Lepisosteus oculatus: one gene and its partner. The protein of the gene in region 1 purifies or fractionates together with the protein of each later gene. This does not show direct contact. Links are inferred from orthologs where the notes say so. Each region holds a gene or a part of one and is shown in the gene's direction. Other genes may lie near its edges.

What was found. Proteins that work in one complex are often made in the same cells at the same time.
Region 2: the proteins of naa30 (region 1) and naa38 purify together in Homo sapiens (co-immunoprecipitation; 3 studies listed by BioGRID and IntAct, with this or other methods). This does not show direct contact. The link is inferred for Lepisosteus oculatus from reciprocal best matches to the Homo sapiens genes NAA30 and NAA38.

The regions. Positions count from the first base shown.
Region 1 is NC_090703.1:9,953,045-9,960,071, reverse strand, and holds the start of naa30 (N-alpha-acetyltransferase 30), read left to right. Parts: upstream 1-4,017; 5' UTR 4,018-4,226; coding exon 4,227-5,105; intron 5,106-7,027. UniProt on the Homo sapiens protein: Catalytic subunit of the N-terminal acetyltransferase C (NatC) complex. Catalyzes acetylation of the N-terminal methionine residues of peptides beginning with Met-Leu-Ala and Met-Leu-Gly.
Region 2 is NC_090698.1:7,517,932-7,525,844, reverse strand, and holds naa38 (N-alpha-acetyltransferase 38, NatC auxiliary subunit), read left to right. Parts: upstream 1-4,895; 5' UTR 4,896-5,060; coding exon 5,061-5,105; intron 5,106-5,853; coding exon 5,854-6,022; intron 6,023-7,257; coding exon 7,258-7,370; 3' UTR 7,371-7,909; downstream 7,910-7,913. Other genes in the region: cyb5d1 (cytochrome b5 domain-containing protein 1), read right to left, coding at 1,080-1,310, 1,886-2,104, 4,014-4,090, 4,318-4,438.

The DNA.
Region 1 (7,027 bases):
ATGGATTTCTCCTTCCCTTGCTGGGCTCCTGAATAGCTAATTGCTGCGACAGATCTAACGAGGGTCTGAGTACTCGGGCTCTTATAGAAAGCAGGGGTGGGGGCTCCAGTAAAATACCAAAGGGAGAGGGAGGCATTGTGCTGGGTCTTACAGCCCTCATCCTTTCTTGGTGCTGTGTTTTAAAATCCTAAGTTATAAACTCTAGTTTACTGTCTAATAACTCTCTTTTTAACAGTGGTATTAAGTATATCTTTTAGAGGGCCATACTTATAGAGGATCCATGTGTCTCCAACTCCAGGCTGCCCTGGTCAGCTGAGAGGGACGGGACTTGTCCTCCAGGTCTCTTGGTGTGGCTTTGTTGTCTGTGTTGTGTTGAGACATCCACTATCCCCCCTTCTGTTCCAATCCCTCCTGGCAGTGAGTGACCTCTGACCTTCTGCTTTTCTTTTTTTATTCATCTCTTTCCACTCTTGATTTCTATTGGTAAAATCAAGTAGGCATTCCAGTGTCATAAAATACCGGGCGATGTTTCTAATAACTAACCATAGCATTCATAATTGCATCTTCATCCCTGCTGTCTCCTTCTCTGTGACTTCTTTCTGTGCTTATCAGGCTCTGTGCCTCTCCTGGGGGTAACACCTCACTCTAGACCAGCAGCAGGGACAGTCCTCTTTTCTATCACAAGGCCTTCACATACCCTTGAAGGCTTCCATAGCCGTAGTGAACAATTACCAATAGTCTCAAGCTCCAGAAAGTAATTTCAGTAGAGGAGCCAATGGAGCTTAAGGAATACTAACACAGGGCAGTGTGGCAGGAACATGGCACAGGTAAGATAAAAGATGGAAGAGCCTGTGTTCAATCTCCACTGCAGTCAGTCTCCTGAGAGAATGCTTTTTTCTAGTCTCTCGCTAGCCTCCTTGGGCCCCACACTGATAGAGGCACCACATTCTCATGTGGATTTCGACTCAGGGGCTGACCCTGACTAATGTTCTGTCAGTTGGGACCAATTGCTCACACAACCTCTGCATGTATTTATGGGAGACCATGGAACAACAGCAACTGTAGGCTCTGAGCTTCTTTTATGGCTTAAGGAAGCCAGAAAGGCATAACCTCTGAAGTCTGGCACAGGCTGGAAAGCATTGTTATGACATGACACCCCAATACACAGGACTACCTGCAGGAAATGTGCTATGGCCAATTAGTTGATGATTGGAACGCCTTCTTAGGCTTAAAGGTCTTGGTCTTTAAGGGCCTTTGGGTGACTCCTTTAAACTCCATACCTACTAATACATTCCTTTTTATATACTTATAGAGAAAAAAAAATCTATGAAAGGAAACTGTCATTTGCCATGTTGCATTGTTAGTTGGGTTCATCGTTATTCTGCAAGCACTCAACCACAATCCCACAGGTGTGTCGGGGGATAACAAAGCAGCAAGCACGGCTTTAGTCTCTGTACAGAACCCAGCAGAGCGCACATATCTGCACAAGCAGGACACGCCATTACCAAGTCAGTCAATATTTAAGAGTCTGAAGCACTCAGTGCGTCCGCCCCTCTCCAGCACATTAGGAGTGGAAATTGATTCCAGAGAAAGAGGACAGTGGATTCTCCGGGTAAACTGAATAGGGAGCAACTATCCAACTGGAGAGACCTGCACAGACGGCAGGCCGTGTAACCGATAAAACTTTGCACACAATTAGCATGAGGCAACTGAGCTGGAGAGAAAACAAACCGCTTTCGCACGGAACAGTGGGCTGGGCAACAGGAATGTGCCGGCACAGCTGGCACAGAGCAGGTCTCTCTGCATCTTTAAAGAGCAACACAACACTGGCAATGTCATGTCATTCAGATGACATGCGGGATCAGACATCTTGCAGAGCTGTTGCATTAACGACAGAGCATTATCTGTATTTGCCTGGCCTCTCCTCCAGCAGAGCACTATCTATATTTGTCTAGTCCCTCCTGATGTTTTCTTTTGACACAAAGGCGCCCTGGATTCATTTTTAGTCCTGTATCCATCAAGCAGTGTATTTGAACCCAAGCACTAGCTGTTAAAAAAGGGAGTGACCGAAGATAATGGATAACAGCAGCTCTTGCTAGGACTAAAAATACACAACATGGAAGGGTAAAGTGATTCCAAAAGCCAATAGATTTGTATTACAGTCAATGGAGGGACAGCCAACAACATGGAAATGTTCTGAATAAATGCTTTCTCTGTAAGGTCCACTGTCGTCGGGACAGGGGGAATTAAATATGAATTTAACATTAAAAGCATTGACATGCACTACAGGCTAGTTCTCCAAATTGAACATGGCTTGTGCTGTGAGAAGGAACAGTCATTTGGACAGAATAATGCTTTCAGTGTAGTGAAGTAATGTGTAGAATGCTTGTGCAATTTTGTTAGGTTTACTACTGGAGCAACAACAAATACTACGCAGAGCGAAGTCTCTGGCCTGTACTGCCCTCTGCTGGAATCTTTCTTCCCATTATAAAAACTGTACTGGACTTTTCTCTAGAGATAGGCTGGCCAACTAGAGCAGTTTACCTATCTGAATGGATCCTTTCCTTTTTCCAGTTCTAAAGATCCACAACAAAGATTTCACCTGGGGTGAATCTGATCTCTTAATTTGAGCTGGAGAACCTTAAAGCCAATTTAACAGCTCTCAACTGAGCCTGTGCCAAGGACATAGAATGGGTGTTATAGGATCCTTTTGGACATACTGAAGCCTGTTGTTTAGAGTAGATGCCCTCTTACAGCAGTCAAATCCCGAAGTCACAAAGTGTGTGTAAACACTTCAGCGCCAGATAGACTTAGCAAGGCCCTACACACTTGGAAAAAAATGTACCCTTCTGATGTGTCCAATGACAGTCCAGGGACAAAGATGACAGCAAACAAACTTATATAATTGGCTCCATTTCCTTCTAAGGTCTACGTAGATGGTTTTAAAATGGGCAGACACACCTGAAGCAGAGCAAGAGAACCCAAACCAGTCCCCTCACCCCCGTTTTTACTCAGAGCGAGAGGCATTTGAAAAGTTCTGGGTCCGCAGGACCCATCCCCAGATGCTGCTCTTTCTCCGCAGCATGTGTGACAGTGTAGACAGCATCTCGGATTATTTTGAGAAACAGCACGTCTTTCCACGTGATATACCAGAGGATATGCTCTGACTGACCACAAGAAACAAGGGCCTCTACTATACTCACTGGCACAAAGGACAGCACCTGATTCATGTATAATAGGTTGCAGATGTTGATCCTGAGTGCAAGACGTCTTACAAAATAAGGGGGTGCAGTCCCATCCCGTTGTTAATACTGTAGCTAGTTAGCACAGAGACCACCAAGATCCTTCTGGAATGTTCCTGGTGACTCAGCACTTTGTTAAACTGGAATGTGTTGCACTACCACATCTAGACTTGGGATATAGTTTGCTATGCCAGAATAGAGGAAGGTATTTGTGCTGTGAAATCTCTTTAATTGTACAGAATAATCCAGCTGGTAAGAATCTGTCGTCTGTTTTATTCTCTAGAATTGTTTGCGAGTACATTTATCTTTATGCATGAGTATACATAGCATGCATACATTGTAAACCAAACTGGAATCACATGTCCACTGTACAGCTCGCTTAAAACAAGTAAAGGAGGATTCCCTAAACTTGTCATTTATATAAACTTTCCTATTTTCTCATTTAGTGCGCTGACCAAAAGGATCTGTCTTTCGTGATTCTGCTTCGGCCCCAGTCTTCCTAGCGCTCTAAACGATAATAAAGTTAATATGAAACATAAAGCTTCATATTTACTCAATGCAATATTTTAACAGCATTCTTTAAAATAAAAATATGAAACTGTTAATTTTAATGTAAATTAGGCTGATCGCTTCTTAATCTCAATAATATATGTTGAACACATAACCGATCTAACTCGGCTTCCGCCGAATCGATCTACAGGCTATATTCGCGAAATCATGGTTCCCACGAGTGTCGTAAAGTGTCTCCTCCTCTTTCTTGGTGTCGTACTGACAGTCGTTCCACTTTCCGGCAGCGGGGAGCAGGAAAGCCGAGGAGAGAGTGACGGGTAACGACCAGAGGAGACCTGAGGGAGAAGACTCAAAACTCGCATATTTTAATCGTTATTCCCGGGGGGGATTGGTATTGCTTTTACCTGCCCCTGACCAACAGGATCTCTCTTTCGTGATTCTTCTTCGTCCCCATTTTTCCCTGAATGAAGTGGGATGGCTGAGGTGCCGCCTGGGCCTAGCGCGCTGCCTGCATCCCCGGCCGAGATTATTCCCTTCCCCGGGGTTGGGTGCGCCATACCCGGGGAAGGGGGGGAACGTGGCTGTGGACGAGGAGACGCAGCGATCCCCGGGGTTGGACAGCAGCAACAAGTAAGTGAAGGGAAAGGGACGAGCAAGGCAACTCAGAACCACCTGTACTCTCACCCGGCGGTTCACCACTTCCATACTCAGACACAGCAGCAGCAACAACTCAACGGCTTAATAAACGCCGCGGAGGACGGCCTCGCCTGCACTCACCACAGCCGCCTCCATAGTCATCACCATCACCCGGCTCACAGGCCGTCTGACAGCCCGGGGGCGCTCACCGAGCACCGCGACGGCACCGGCGGGGCTCGGGCTGGCGCCCAGGAGGGCAGCAATTTCGGCGACATCAACAACAGCGGCTGCCAAGGGCAGCACTGCCCGCCGCAAAACCACTCGTACTCGAACAACAACCACAGCATGAACAGCATGCTGACCCTGTCGGAGGAGGCGAGCTGGAGAGGCGACCGCGCCAGGACTGAGCCCCGGCCTTCCCCTGCCGACCCCCCGGCCGTGGCAGGCCTCGGGACTCCAGGGGCTGGCGTGGAGCTGGAGGCCGCTCTGGACGGCTCTTACACCGTGGAGGCAGCGGTGTCGGAGATGGCGAGGGTGGTTCTGAATAGCTCTGGCGGAGAACAGGGGGAGGATGAGGAGCCGATCCAGTACGTGCGCTATGAGTCTGAGCTGCAGATGCCGGACATTATGAGGCTGATCACTAAGGACTTGTCGGAGCCCTACTCCATTTACACCTACAGGTACTTCATCCACAACTGGCCTAAGCTCTGCTTTCTGGTACGTACACTGCCATTTTACTGGTGAAGTGGTGTGTTGTGCGGCTTTGGGGTGGGTTGTGGGATATTAGCTGCATGAGTTGGGGTTCAGATCCCTGTAGCAGAGCTCTGCACACACTTTGTCGCTGTGGCTAAACTAATAAATGGACGTTGAAGGTCCATGTATTGTCTAATTGAATTGCTCATTTTAATTAAAGTCTTTTGTTACTCTGACATAGCATTTTATGAGCTTTTACTGGAATATCACTTCACTCGTATCGGTATGGTAATAAAATACTTCCATTTTTGTCCAAGTGGTGGGTAATACCGAGATGATTTCCAAAACCTCGCTCTGACACTGAAGGAACTGTCGTTTCGACTCCTCTAACTGGGGCTTTTAGTTGTATGATGTTTTAATATTTCCTCTTATCCTCTCATACTCTTAGACTTTTTTGGGCGAAAGCGCCAAGCATATTTGATATTTAATTTTAAAGTTATTAATTACTTTGTAATTGACTAAATTATGATGTGAGAAACTTGAACCATAGGGCAGAGAGGGTAGAACTGAGGCTAAAAAAAGTATCACAGATTACTGTTACAAGGTGGCAGTCAGATTATGATGTTTTATAAGCTTTTACCATTTTTAGTAGGTATCAAAATGGTTTGGCTGCTGTCAAACTCATTCAGACCCATGGAAAGGTAGGAACAGCCCTGAACAGAAAAGTTTAATGTGATGAGACCACGTTTTCCATTACCCTCTCTGTTAATAATGCAGTTGTTTCTTTGCAACCAACTGATAAGTGCTAAACTAAAACAGAAGCAAACAAACCCCGGCAAACTGACTGTGTGATAACAGGAGATGAAACTGTAGATTGAAAGATTTATTAATAAGACTGATGTTTAAGCGTGTTTGGAGATAGTGAATTCATCTCTAATGGATATGGGAAATGTGTATAATGGACATGGTGCTGCACGGGAGAAGGCTCTGTCACCAGGTGTGGAGTCTGGTGTTTTATGAGGAAGAAGGCCAAAATCAAGGACATCAGGTGGCTGTTAAGTAGCAGGGAGGCCTAGTCATCTTATCTTAACAGGTGTCAAAACAGAAAACTTCAAATCAGTTTTTCGGACTCATTTAAGATGTTAGTAACAAATGTACAAGTTCGTACCAAGTAGGGGTGCGGTACTAGGTCTCAATTTAACTACGAACTCTCTTACTAAAGTCCCATCAACAGCAGGAACTGGGAAAGCAGAAGGGGTGTGGTTGTCATAACTACATGAGTTGAGGGCAGTAACTGGTTCTTTAATATTGCTATGAATAAATTGCATGAATGGGTTACTTTGCTCAGCAGAGGTATTGGCTAGTTCCAACATTTTATATTTTACTGATAGTGGATAAGGTGACTGAAGTATTACTGTGATCCTGGGTCTGGCTGCCTTAAGAGTATGTTTGTGTTCCCACTGATGTTGTGCATGAACTGTCAGCCCATAGAAGGCTTATTTCTTTAAGCAATATTTTTTTTGTTTAAAGTTCTTTATGCTTCCAAGTGAATGGACTGTGCTCGGCACTAGACCTGCATGCAGTCCTTTTGCCCTGCCTTAACATTGCAAAATAATCTGCACAGCACCGTGTTTGTAAATTGTGTATTATATCTTCTTTAAAAATCACACCCTGAAGAAGGAAAGGGTGTTACACCAATTTCCTGCTACATCAGGATCTCAATTAAGGGAGCTTTCATTTCAGATAGTTTCTTCCTTGCTTCAGGTTAAATTATGCTTTTTTTTTTGCTTTGAATATCCATTTCAGCATTTTCTTTACTCAAACTGATTATTGCAAGTATTATGCAGCTTGCATTGAGTATCATTATGTGCCTAGTATAAGACTGAGCACATCCTTTGAAATGATATATGGTGGAATGATGAGGTTAATTTGAGGGAGGGCGTGTA
Region 2 (7,913 bases), on another chromosome or scaffold:
ACACAGGGGTAATTAACGCGTATATATATTTTAATCAAACGTGCGGCGAGCAGAAAACGACGAAATTGCCTTATTTTATTACGCGTGATGCCTCCGCCGGACTTTTAACTACAATTATTCTGCAGTTCGACTTGTTGTAAAAGCGCTTTGGGATGCTGCTCAACACGACACGTAGACATGGGTGGCCGATTTATTGATGTGATTGAGACGAGCACAGGATGAAGGAGGTGGTGTCTGTAACCATTAAATACAGAAGGCGCCTAAGAGGAAATGAAATACTTAAAACAACTGAAGAAATAGCCATTGAGGGAATTATAATAACTAGTTACATATTTTGTTTTTATTAAAGAATGCCTGGACTCCTGTAAATATATAGCTGTGTTAATGAACTACACCAATATATTTTACACAATTATGGTATCAAATGTAAGCTGGATGAAGGAATAGGGGAAATTAATAATAATACAACTTAAACAGTGAACACACTAATACCTCATTTAAAAAAAGCTATAAACTTTGGACAAACGTTTCAGATACACACAAGTACAGCTCAGACTGCTGCAGCCCGTGTCCTGCTGAGCAGTGAGGAGCCTGTGGGAGTTCACCTCCACGAGAGGTGAGACTGAACACCCAGTGGTTAATCCAAAGCAAGCTGTGTCACGGGAAGCAAAAAAAGAGGTCCAAAATATCTAGACATGTCTCAAAATAACAAGCAGCGCATTTTATTATCACCGAAAAGCAACCCTTGAGAACAGGTCATGAGCTGCGATCATCCAGCTGTGAATAAAGGGGGAGGGAGAGCGAGAGACGGAGAGAGAGAGCAAGGGGAAGGGACAGAGGGATCTGGAGAGGGAGAGGTGGGAGAAGAGAGAAAGAGGCAGGGACAGAGGCAGAGGGGGATCAGCAGCAGCTGGTCAATACATGTCTCAGACTGGAGAGAGATCACAGAGATGGGGCCGGTAGAGCTGGGTGGCTCCCAGGGTCGTGAGACCAGAGCTCAAAACTGAAGCAGTTTCTTGGCGAAGCAGAGAGGACTAACAGGACAGTGGAAGGGGTGTGGACGTGCAGTGGAGCGGAGCTCACAGTTCGGTGAGATCGTCGTTGAAATAGAGACAGATGGACTGTGTGAAAAGGTCCCGGTCCATGCGGAGCTCATAGAACTCCTGATCCTCGTCGGCGATCCCGTTCTCCGACAGCGTCTTGCCCATGTCCAGGTTGACGCCGCCGTATTTCCAGGTGTAACTGGCAGCATGGGAGTTGTACTTCAGGTAGCGCTGCAGGATTTCCGACATTGTCTCCTCGGAACACACCTGGGACGACAGGCGAGGGAGACAGTCGGGACACCGAGATCTGTGCCGTCACCTGAATCACAGGTTCGAGCACAAAGGGGCCTCCCAAGAATACTCACTGGGGTTACACAAAAAAAACCATGAAAAACAACCGCGATGCAAATTAAGACTCCCGTTGCACGGCAGTTTGACCCATTTCATATTTTACTAAGTATTCTGAATAAGCAAATCGACAAATAGCTTTAATGTTTTTATCCCCAGGCAACAGTACACGTAAATTAATGCAAAATGCGGGAACAAGCCCAAAATATCCAGCATATATCCAAGAGCTTGCTTTTTTTAAAGAGAAAATGGAATAGTTTTGCTATACAACCTGTGATATGAACACTTTACAGCTCCGAGACTAGAAATACACTCTCTGTACGACACTAGAAATGTCACTGTTTTTTTGTCCTCTTTTTATTTTTTTTTAAATATTACATTTGGAGGTATTCTAGGAAATAAATAGGTGAAAACCGTACTGTCAAAATCATGAGAAATGCCCCTTTTTTTAAATATTGCAGGAACGCCTTGCCAGGCAGCAGTGCGCGGCTCACCTCCAGCATCTGCTCCTGGGAAGTCAGCGTGTTGATGATGCGCACGTGGCGGGTCTTGGCTGACAGGACCCCCACCTCGTAGCAGCCGTCTCTCCACCAGGGGCAGCCGAAGTCGTTGGCCCAGTCGGTGCAGGGCCAAGGTGGAGGCACGTGGACGAAACGCCCACTGGGGGTGTAGTACTTCTTGCAGCCTGACAGGGGGTCGACGTGGGTCCGGATCTGTAGGTGACAAGGTTGCTTTACAAACAGAGGAGTAAGGAGACAGTGAAACAGTGCCTAAGACCTGGACCTAGAAGCAGGTGCTATTGTGTTTCTCTCTGCCTAGCAACCCATAAATGGTTATTATAAATTTATTTGGCTTGCTCGTTTATCCATAGAGACTTACATGCAACCATTTATGCTGCTGGGTGTTTTACTGAAACCTGCCCATGGGTTCAAAACCATTGCTCCAGCCGGGAAATGAACCTATTCCATTTATCAGTCCAGAGCTCTGAGTACTGTCCTGCATGGTTAGCACCAGCACTGCAGTCCTTCAGCTCCCATTACAGAAGATCAGGTAGCACCTGCACATAGTAATGTAATACTATGCCACTATTGTTCACAGTATGTATGATCCTGTGTGTCAGCCTTAATGTAGAACTTAACACATGAGGTGTTTACAGGTGTTCACAGACAGGTGGGAATGACACTTATCTAACAGACACAAAAAAATCAACTATGTACCCTGAAGAGGCCCAGTTACTGACGTTCTGTTCATCTGAATGAAGAGGGGTGTGAAACCCAGAAGCTGGTTGAAGGCTGATAGCTCTTACTAATCCTTCCAAGATTTTTGACAGCTAAACTAAAATTTCTGATGAGCTCAGCTGGAATAGAAGGGTTTCAAAGGGGCTCCCCTCTGGGACAAGGCCTATGAACTGGTAAATGGCGAAGTCTCATTCACTAGAGATTAAAGACTTTAACCACGGACTATCTTTAGGCTGTGAAAATGCTGCAAAGTACAGTCCCACACTGACATCTACAGGCCAACTTACTTCACTGCAGTGGAGACACAGAAGTGCTGTGCTGAAAACAAGACACTGACCCAGTGAGGCCCTAGCAAACATCAGCAATGGGCACAGTCTGGCCATTTTATGAGGACCTCAGAGAACAATCTGTTGCTTGTTTCTTTTTTTTATAATTTGCAATCACTCTTTTTACAGTTTCCTTTATTTCTTAATCCCTCTGAATCAGGAATTCCCGTCTGTTAGTCTACTGGGATCCCGTATGGGGAGGGTGTGGACAGCGCACTTTCCTCCTCCCGTTGAGCCACCTGCGCGGTGAGACAGGAATGCAGGTTCCACTGTTGAGAGAAGCAGTGATCTTTGCAAACAGCAAAGATCTGCCCTACTACAAAATAAGTACAAACATATTGAGTTCAGCCAGCAGCCATATCACCCTGCAACTCATAACTGGCAACCCACTGAAGCTCAGCAGGTTGCTGAGGAAGGTTGCTGCTGGAAGAGGTGTTAGTGGGGCCAGCAGGTGTCACTCACCCTGCGGTCTATGTGGCTCCTAATGCCCCAGTATAGTGACGGGGACACTATACTGTAAAAAAGGCATCGTCCTTCGGATGAGCCATAAAACCGAGGTCCTGACTCTCTGTGGTCATTAAAAATCCCAGGGCATTTCTTGAAAAGAGTAGAGATGTAACCCTGGTGTCCTGGCCAAATTTCCCATTGGCCTTTACCAATCATGGCCTCCTAATAATCTCCATCTATGAAGTGGCTTTTTCACTCTGTTCTCTGCCCCACTGAGAGCTGGTGTGTGGTGAGAGTACTGGTGCACCATGGCTGTCGGCGCATCATCCAGGTGGGGCTGCACATTGGTGGTAGTGGAGGGGATCCCCATTACCTGTAAAGCCCTTTGAGTGGAGAGTCCAGTCCTATATAAGTGTAAGCTATTATTATTATTATTATTATTATTATTATTATTATTATTACCCTTTTAAAGAAAAGCTCCCTCCTTTAAGGAAGACACTAGTACCAGAAGAGCTCCACTCCCCCACCCTACATACTCACACCCTCAATAATGACGATTAATTAAAGGAGTGATTACCCCAACCCAGAGAGGCCTCTGCACTTTCACTTACATCTTTAGTCTTGGGGTTAAACCAGTGGCTGATGTCCTTCCCTGCGGACTCGATGATGGGTTTCAGGAGCACATCGCCTGAGTGGAGAAACGCATGAAGGAAAGGGAGCTTAAAAACTGGGGTGTCCATACCCGTCCCTCGCCCTCTCCTGATTCACCGCAATCAGTCTTTTAAACAATTATAAGGAAGGCAATCCGATAAGGCATTTTGTGCGCGTTTTACTACAAGTAGACAATGCGCTACTGAGGTGCACCGGGGTACCCGCGTTTGTGCTGAAAGTTACCCTCAGACGCTTTTAACTTACCCTGGTGCTCCTTCACCAACGGGGTCAAATCGTACACTTTGCCCAAATACGAAACCCATAAATCCTCGACAGTGTTGTGCAAAGAGACTTCGTTAGGAGTGTAATATTTGGGGCGCCGCATCTCCCCTGCAAGGAAGTAAAACAAGTTATGTATGAGCCGTCATGTGTTAAATTGAAACGACCATTACACACGTTTGTATTCACCTAAACAGTATTAATCTTTTTTTCTTTCTTTAAAACTGGGGGCGCTGCAGAACTGTACACAAAACTTTGTTTCTGTTGCCGTAGCTACGCCAGGCCGGTATGACGACACGCAGGAATTCTGGGATTTGTAGTTCTGTCACCCCAGGTGACGTCTTGAAGACACTTTTATCAAAACAACAATCCGTGGGAAATACGTTTATTTTTTCGTTCTCCATGAATTCAAATGAACTTATAATCCTATTAACTTTAATTAATGGAACGCCTGGTTTGTTTTCAAGTCAATTACGTTCATTTTTCAAATAAGGAAATTGGAGAAAAAAAGACGTGCGACTACGTTTTCAAAACAGACCACCCCGAAGACCTAAAAACAAGGCGTCCTTGTCCTTCGTATTTAAATAGACACTACAATACCCACAACACCCTGCGAAAACCCGGATGTACTTTGGAATTTTTTTTTTTAAAAAGGTCGCGAGGGTCCGTGAAGGTCTGGAGAGGGGTGAATAAAACCCAGTCAAAAATTAAATGAATATAAATAAGAAATGGCGGCGGTGAAAGAAGAGAATGGTACCGCAGCTCGTTCGGGGGTGAGTGGCCGTGCGAGTCGGTGGAAATGTCTCGGTGTTAGCGTGCCGGTGGGTGACACAGGCATGCGGGGTGGATTAATGATGGCACGTTTTCGCCCGGAAACGGGAAGACAGCGGAGGGTCGCCGCTGTTTCACCCTGCTCTCGCACTGCCCCCCACGAGTACGGGCCGGACGAGTGAAGTCTTGGAGTTAGTGCGGTGGCTTTCTAACCTGGGCTCTTGTGCTGTCTTAGGCCTGCTATTTCAGTGCTGACCGCGCGTTTGGTAACCTGCCCTGCTGCGTATTCGCGACTGTTCAGAGGTCAGGGGGACCCCGGATTTATTTTTCAGACCACCTGCTTTAAAGTGTGCCACATTGCATAGCGCGGGTTTCAAAGGGCTGAAGTAATTGGCAGTGCATTATTCAAGTGAAGAAGCTGCAAATCTGGAATGCAATTTACGCTGAAACATTTCCAGAAAATGCCCTAATCTTAATGGCACTGTGACCCTGTGACACCAGTTCAGTCCCCTGCCTGTTCTGTGCATTAACTTCACAAGATCATGGTATTGCCCTGATTTATGCCAAAATTACTTTACAGCTTGGTGCTTTACCTGGAACTCTCTAGCCTTTACCATGTTTTTAGCCTGATCATGCCTTGTCCACCACGTCGTCATTGTGCTTGACTCCTCTTTGGCCTTGATCTTGCTGGACAAAGGAGGCGGTCCTAAGCAAGGCTCGCTCACCCATTGGCTGCCCCGTGTCCCGCAGGGGGAGGAGTCCACGTACACGCTGGCCTGTCAGAAGCTGGAGAACCTGCTGAACAAGAGCATGCGCATCCGCATGACGGACGGGCGCACGCTGGTGGGGCTGTTCCTCTGCACTGACCGCGACTGCAACGTCATCCTGGGGTCCGCGCAGGAGTTCCTTAAATCCACAGGTACCGCCTGTACCCCCCCGTTTTTGTCAGGCAGCTGCGTGGGGGGCGTTTGGGGTTAAGGCTCTGGACTAGTAACTGGGAGACTGACCTGGGATTTGAACCCACAGCCACTGCTGTTGCACCCATGAGCAGGGTATTTAACCCATGTCTTCCCGTTCAAAGTCGTTGGGGGGGCTGCAGCCAATCCCAGTCAGCAGCGGGCACAAGGCGGGGTACACCCTGGACAAGGCGCCAGTCCATGGCAAGACACACAGAGACACCAACACACACACACATGTGCGGGCCAGTTTTCTCAGAAGCCAGTTAACTAAGGTTGCTGCTGGAAGAGGTGTTAGTGGGGCCAGAAGGGGGCGCTCACCCTGCAGTCCATGTGGGTCCTAATGCCCCAGTATAGTGATGGGGACACTATACTGTAAACAGGCGCCGTCCTTCGGATGAGACGTAAAACCGAGGTCCTAACTCTCTGTGGTCATTAAAAATCCCAGGGCGTTTCTCGAAAAGAGTAGGGGTGTAACCCCGGCGTCCTGGCCAAATTTCCCGTTGGCCCTTACCAATCATGGCCTCCTAATAATCCCCCTCTATGAATTGGCTACATTACTCTGCTCTCCTCCCCACTGATAGCTGATGTGTGGTGAGCGTTCTGGCGCACTATGGCTGCCGTCGCATCATCCAGGTGGATGCTGCACACTGGTGGTGGTGGAGGGGAGTCCCCATTACCTGTAAAGCGCTTTGAGTGGAGTGTCCAGAAAAGCGCTATATAAGTGTAAGCAATTATTATTATTATTATTAACTTACCAGTGTGTTTGTGGACTGCGGGAGGAAACTGGAGCACCCGGAGGAAACCCACCCAAACTCGGAAAGAACATACAAACTCCACACGGATAGCACCCCAGGTCTGGAATTGAACCCAGGGCCCTAGTGCTGTGAGATAGCAATGCAAACCACTGCAACACCATTCCGCCTTTCACCCATCCTGCTCTATTTAAATAGAGGGATGATTTTGGCAGCACAGCAGTAACTGCTCACGACTCATCTTTTTCCATGTAGTTAATAAAAATGACTCCTGAGATTTTAACCGTGAAAGAAAACACTCCAGTAATGTAATGGACACCTGCAGCAAATGCCTGAGAACTGTAACGCGGAGTTTGAGATGACCATAATGCACATTCCGGATAATGTTCAGGTTAGCCGTGTTTTTTTTTTTCCTGCCCTCTGTTCTCTGCTCTTCCTTTCAGACTTGTTCTCCCAGGGCGAGCCCCGCGTGCTGGGCCTGGCCATGATCCCCGGGCACCACGTGGTGTCCATAGAGGTGGAGGCGGACAGCCTGGCGGGCTCTCAGGGCTTCTAAAAGGCTCGTCGCAAGCCGTCACCTGGAGCTGGCGGACTGAACAGGAGAGGACAAGGCAGCTCAGGGCCAGGCCAGCTGGGAGGGACGGGGACTGGCCTGCTGGGTGGAGGGAGGGATGGTTTTGCTGGGTGGTTGATCCTGATATGGTTGTTGTCTGCGTTCCAAGGACTAGGCTCTTTCAGACGGGATGAAGTGAGCCCGTAGAACACTCTATTTGCTGCACGTGGAAGCACGCAAAATTGAAAAACAAAAATGACACAAACTGCACCCCCGGCTTTGGTGGCCTCGTAGTCTGCCCAGTGTCGCCCCTTCCTGGAGCGGATTCTCCGGCTGATGGGCACATGGGGCGGCGAGGAGAGGAACTGGGCGCTTCTGGGATGAGCTGCACACACACACACACCCAGACTGCGCGACAGGCCGCAGCCGCCAGGGCCGCAGTGAAGAAGCCATGCGTCCTTGGGATTGTTTTTTTTTTTATTTTGGGGCTTGCTCAGAGGCTTGACGTTAACTGATTTTATGGATTAAAAACGTTTGCTTTTCCTG